2 linked regions of the Macaca fascicularis genome follow. The protein of the gene in region 1 purifies or fractionates together with the protein of each later gene. This does not show direct contact. Links are inferred from orthologs where the notes say so. Each region holds a gene or a part of one and is shown on either strand. Other genes may lie near its edges.

The links.
Region 2: the proteins of SLC34A2 (region 1) and ENDOD1 purify together in Homo sapiens (co-immunoprecipitation; 3 studies listed by BioGRID and IntAct, counting the BioPlex papers as one, with this or other methods). This does not show direct contact. The link is inferred for Macaca fascicularis from reciprocal best matches to the Homo sapiens genes SLC34A2 and ENDOD1.

Annotation. Positions count from the first base shown.
Region 1 is NC_088379.1:24,799,104-24,802,854, reverse strand, and holds part of SLC34A2 (sodium-dependent phosphate transport protein 2B), read right to left. Parts: intron 3,094-3,751; coding exon 2,926-3,093; intron 1,863-2,925; coding exon 1,746-1,862; intron 1,654-1,745; coding exon 1,529-1,653; intron 1-1,528. UniProt on the Homo sapiens protein: Involved in actively transporting phosphate into cells via Na(+) cotransport.
Region 2 is NC_088388.1:94,141,364-94,144,094, forward strand, and holds part of ENDOD1 (endonuclease domain-containing 1 protein), read left to right. Parts: intron 1-214; coding exon 215-1,417; 3' UTR 1,418-2,731. UniProt on the Homo sapiens protein: May act as a DNase and a RNase. Plays a role in the modulation of innate immune signaling through the cGAS-STING pathway by interacting with RNF26.

The sequences.
Region 1 (3,751 bases):
CAGTAGGGAGGAGGGGACGGGGGAGGTAAGCTAGCAGGCATCACAGGTAGCACAGTCTCGGGCCTTCCAGGCCTTCCTTGTCTTTGCGGTTCAGCCCAGAGGGTACCTGGTTTCCATGAGGACCTACTACATGTCTGGGAGGGCCAGGAGCACTCAACTGTGCATTAGCTCAATCCTCAAAAAACACTCTACAGAGTGTCAATCATTATTTCTTGACATGAGATAATGGAGGCTCCTCAACTCCCACAGGTGGGAGATGGAAGAGGTGGAAATTCACATCCTGGGAGCCTGGCTCCAGAGGCCAGGCGCTTAGTCACTTTTCCAAGGCTGCCAAGGTGCAAAGTACCATGCCCAGGCTATGAACCAGCACTGTCCAATACACTAGCCGCATGTCCACACTGAGATTTGCTTTAAGTATGAAATACACACTAGATTTCAAAGACTTAGTCCCAGAAAAGAACAATGTCAAATATCTCAATTTTTGACAGACTGATTACATGTTAAAGTGATAATGGTTTAAATCAAGCACATTATTGAAGAATGAATCTGCCTGTTTCTACTTTTAAAAATGTATCTGCTAAAATCTTTTAGGATGACATATGTGGTTAATTTATATTATATGCTTGAATTTCTATTTCTGTTGCATAGATTGCTTTCCCTCATCAGATCTTTATAGTAATCCTAATGAGATAGGGGTTATATCCTCCATCTTTCACATGAGGGAATTGACACTCAGGTTAGATCACTTGCCAAAGGTCATTTGGGATGTAAATGGTGAGATAAGAATTCAAATCTCAGGCTGGGCGCAGTGGCTCACGCCTGTTATCCCAGCACTTTGGGAGGCCAAGGCAAGTGCATCATGAGGTCCGGAGTTCAAGACCAGCCTGGCCAACGTAGTGAAGCCCCGTCTCTACTAAAAATACAAAAAAATCAGTCAGGCGTGGTGGCAGGTGCCTGTAATCGCAGCTACTCGGGAGGCTGAGGCAGGAGAATCACTTGAATCCGGGAGGCGGAGGTTGCAGTGAGTGGAGATCACGCCACTGCACTCCAGCCTGGGAAATAGTGCGAGACTGTCTCAAAAAAATAAAATAAAATAAAATAAAATAAAATAAAATAAAATAAAATAAAACAAATAAATTCAAATCCCAAAGGTCTTGCACAAAGTAACCTAGATGGTCCACGCCAAGGAGTTCTCCTAATTGTAAAGTTCCCCACAGGAGGCAGTGAGGAGATGGGAGGTGGTGGCTGTGCTTCTTAAGTACCCTTTCTACATCTATATCAAGGGGCCACCCCACTTCTGCTGAAACCACCACCAGTTATGGGAGTCTTACTGCCTGTCTCAGAACTGATAGTTTTGATTGTTCTCATATCAAGGTCCTGAAAACTTTACCTGTGGCTTCCCCTCCACATATCAGTTCCATCTTTTGGACAGCACAGAGAAAAAGCCTGGCTCTTGTTAGAGACCAGTTTGCAAGACCATGTGTGGTCCCACCCCCAGGGCCCCTGCCCCGGGGCCCCGAGTCCTCACCTGGAGTGAACTCCTCAATGTATTGCCAGGGCTGGCTAAGGCGGCCAGGATGGCGGTGGTGGTGGTGCCGATGTTGGAGCCCAGCGTGAGTGGATAAGCCCTCTCAATGGTTATCACTCCGATTCCTTGGGGGGGATACAAACACAAACACATCAGCCCCATGGGATGACAGGAAATGGCAGTGGTGGCCAGAGCGAGAAGCTCAGGAATAACTCACCAATCAGGGGAGTCAAGGCCGACGTGAACACAGAGCTGCTCTGCACGATGAAGGTCATGCCTGCCCCGACGAGGATGGCCAGGTAGCCAGTCAACCACGCAAACGGAAAGGGGAAATCTGGAAGACAGAAGGAAGATATGTCATGGCCTCTCTGGAGAAGGAATGGGCTGATGGCCTAGGGCAGGGGCTGGGCTTACAGGTAAGGTTGTACAGGCACCTCCTCATCCTATATATGGTCTCAGATTACAGAGTTGAGTTTTAGAATCCAGTTTCATTCCCCATTGTCTTTTGCTCCACATATTCAGATGGAAAAACCAAGGATGCAGGTAAGTGTTATGGAAACAAAAACACAGACTCCCTGGAGGTCAGGTTAGAAAGAGTGAACCCACCCAAGTAACCACTCTCCTTCCAGAAAGGGCTGAGAGCATGCTTCCTCCCCTGCCCTGGCCTCCCATTAGCACCCACATTCAACCTTCAACCTTCATGTCCGCCTTAAGGAGCATCAGGAAAACACAGCAGCTTGGAACATGCCTACTAACTGAGTCCTCCACCCAACCAGCACCAGATCAGGCCCTGCATTTCCCACAAGCACTCAGAGTTGCTCTGTTCCCCCAAGACAACCTGGGGTGGGGGGTGAATTTTCTTGGCTACATTTAACTGAGTTGTCATGGAGTGATGATGTCATTGGCTTAGTGAGCTCTCATTGGCCAGGACACCCTACTTGGCAGGAAATCCTCTTGGCCAGCAGTCTCATTGGCCACCTCTAGATGCTGATGTATTTACACGTCACATTTCCTTCACAAGAGTGAAGGGAGGTGGGGGTGTGGGTGGACACCTGGGGTCCTTTTTCTAAGGGGTCTTGACAGAGCCAGTAAAGCCCTGAGCATACAGGAAATCCACTAGGAAGGAAGGCCTGATTCACAGTTCTCCAGATAGGAACTCCTTCTCAGGACCTTGCCAACATGCAATGGAAGCTTGGGCCTGCTCCCTAGACCCCACCCAGGACACCAAGAACTTTTCCACATGAATGACATCCTCACTTCTGCTGCTGATCCAATCTGAGAGAGAAACTCCATGCAGAGGCCATTGCTAGATGGGAATCTAAAGCACCCTCACACCTCATGCAGTGGCCATGATGACACCATCCCTCAAGGCCCACAAGTGAGGGCAGTGCACCTACCAGTGTTGATGGTCTTCTTGATGACAGTGGCGACCTGCCCCTTGAGCACAGAGCCCAGGATCTTGACAATCATGATCAGGCAACCACAGAGGACCAGCAGGGAGATTATGAGCAAGATGATACCCACAGCAAGATCTGGGAGGTGGAAATTCACGAAGATATGCTGGCCTAAAAAGACCACGAAGAACCTTGTCAGGAGGGCATGGAGCCACCACGGCTACAGATTGTTATTTATTCCCCCAGATCCTATCTTTTCTACGAACAGATTCCTGGTTGTTAGTTTGACATATGGCAGCCCCAAATCAAGACAGCTCTTCTCAGCCTCCTTTGCAGCAAAGGGCACCACTGAGATTATGTCATAGTCAGTGGGATCGCATGAGGCTGGAAGATCAAGTGATGACTTTAAAAATCACACAACTACTCAGGGGCAGACCCAGCCCAGTTCTGTCTCTAAAGACCATGCTGTGGATGGTCTAATTTTTTACTAATGATAAGTATGCTTTGAGGGGTTCCATGGGCAAGTCAAAGTAAGGGGCATTGCTAATTATAAAGCCCCTTCTGCATCCCCTAGATAATTCCAGCAAAACATGGTTATACGAATTAATATATAACCATTATATAGTGCCTAGAATGTGGGAGGTGGTATGTTAACTTGATTCTTTGGGGTAATCATACCTAGAGTATTAAAGTATACTGCTCAAAATTAATGTGGTGGGAGGGTGGGAAGAGAGAAGCAGAGATATACAAAAGTATATGTAAGGAGTAATTAGAATAATGAAGGGTGGCTGGGTTGGAAAAAACATTACAGCTTGTTAATAATCAGAGC
Region 2 (2,731 bases), on another chromosome or scaffold:
TAGGAAACAGCCTATCTGAAAGATGCTTTGAAACACCAGGATTTTGATATATTAGAATGAAGTGTGCATGTGCCAGAGAACCAAGTCCTTCCAAACTCAAGCATTTGAAGTAATAGACCAGTGGGGACTTCTCCAGAGTCTGGGCAGGATGATTCTAGTGCTGCCTCTGTGCTGTAAGCAGGGATACATCTCACCACTTGTTTTCTTCTTTCAGATCGATGACCCCAACAGCAATCTTGAGGAGGCGATTAATGAGGCAGAGGCCATCACCTCTGTGAACAGCCTGGGAAGCAAGCAAGCCTTGAATACAGATTACCTTGATTCTGATTACCAAAGAGGACAGCTATACCCGTTCTCCCTTAGCAGTGATCTCCAGGTGGCCACATTTACTCTCACAAATTCAGCCCCAATGACTCAGTCCTTCCAGGAACGGTGGTACGTGAATCTCCACAGCCTAATGGACCGGGCTCTGACCCCACAGTGTGGCAGTGGGGAAGACCTATATATCCTCACAGGCACAGTGCCCTCAGACTACAGAGTTAAAGACAAAGTGGCAGTCCCTGAGTTTGTTTGGCTGGCGGCCTGTTGTGCTGTCCCTGGAGGTGGCTGGGCCATGGGCTTTGTCAAGCACACCCGGGACAGTGACATCATAGAAGATGTGATGGTAAAAGATCTTCAGAAACTGCTTCCATTTAACCCTCAGCTGTTTCAGAACAACTGTGGTGAGACTGAGCAAGACACAGAGAAAATGAAAAAAATCCTGGAAGTGGTTAACCAAGTCCAGGATGAAGAACGAATGGTGCAATCTCAAAAGACTTCTAGTCCCCCCTCTAGCACCAGGAGCAAGAAGTCTGCTCCGTTGCCTCCAGAGGCATCTGAGGGAAGTAGTAGCTTTTTGGGAAAACTCATGGGCTTCATTGCTACCCCATTCATCAAGCTTTTTCAATTAATTTATTACCTTGTGGTAGCAATCCTGAAGAACATTGTCTATCTCCTGTGGTGTGTTACCAAGCAGGTGATTAATGGCATAGAAAGTTGTCTTTACCGCCTGGGGTCAGCCACCATCTCATACTTCGTGGCCATTGGGGAAGAGTTGGTGAGCATTCCCTGGAAGGTGCTGAAGGTTGTGGCCAAAGTCATCAGGGCTATTCTCCGGATCCTTTGTTGTCTGCTGAAGGCCATTTGCCGAGTTCTGAGCATCCCTATCCGTGTCCTTGTGGATGTGGCCACTTTCCCTGTGTATACCATGGGCGCTATTCCAATTGTATGCAAGGACATTGCACTGGGCCTTGGTGGCACTGTCTCACTGCTCTTTGACACTGCTTTTGGTACCCTGGGTGGCCTATTTCAGGTTGTTTTTAGTGTCTGCAAGCGGATTGGCTACAAGGTTACTTTTGACAATTCTGGGGAGTTATAAACTCAAAAAACTAATAGTATCCAGTCACCGTGAATTTGAAAGCTGGAATATTTTGTCTTTACAATGGGTTTCTGTTCACTGTCAGTTATCATTATATTTTGGCCTTTGGTGGGGATGTCTGCTTGTTTTTGCAAAAGAAGATGGCAGAATTTAGACTTGACAGAGGAGAAATGCTCAGGGTGAGATTAGGTGTAGTAATCTGCTGTTTACCTCCAGTTATGTGTGCAAACTCCCAAGCCACTAATAACTTCAGTTATGCACTCTGACATAGATGACCACCTGAAACGCACTGGTATTTATTTCTGATGATTAAAAATTACAAGAGAGGGAAGAATTAGAAAAAGAACAACTTTAAACCAAAAGTGTCTGAGAAAAGGACAAAGGGAGCTTGTTCTTCCCATTGCTTTTTGTGATTTAAGGCAAAACAGATAAAAAAAAATTCTGCAGCCAATTTCTCAGCATTTGCTTATCTTTCTCCCCAATTTAACTGACCTTGGTGGAATGCAGATAATGCCTCTCTGTTGAAATGACCTTGTGGGGATGTAGAATTTTCTGTATCTCTTAGCTTTTCTTGGCTCTCGAGGATATGTACAGTTTTCATTTTCTCCAAAGTTGAATTTTGCTACATTTTTCTTTTAGGTGATTATAAGCACTTTTAAAAAAATCATTTTTAGGTAATGGTAAGCATTTTATGCCGAACGTGGCGTAACAGAGTTTGAATTGAAGGGCAAAGGGTTTTTTTTTTTTTTGCACCTTGAATAGTATAATACAGTCCTCTCAGATGAAAAGAAGAGAAGAGAAGGTGGACAGCCCTGCTGTTAGTAGGTGCTGCAGATCCAAGGACATCTTTTGCCCAGCTTGGATTAACTTGACGTGTCTCCCTGCCTGACAAGGTTGAACTGAAAGATCCATATGTTAAGCTAACATGAAAATTCATATTCTGCAACATACTAGATTTTTCTAATGCATTGAGTAAGTACCTAGTACAGTAAAAATACTCTGACTTATGTCCCTAAATGGTTGTTTTGGTACAACTATATAGAAAAGAGCCACAAAATAAAGATAAAAATTATTCTGGCCATCTCTGAAAAAAATATATAAAATATTTAAGAATAATTATATCTTAGGAAATTATTTTTATAGTGTGTTTGAGGCTACAAACATAACTCCCCCATTAATACAAGTGAAATGTGAGAGCTCATTCTCAAAATTTTTTTGATCAAGCACTTGTCATTTTAAATCTTGCACTAAAAAATGTAACAAGAGGGACCAAACTTTGCTTCCCACAATCGGGGTGGAATCATCTGGATTTTT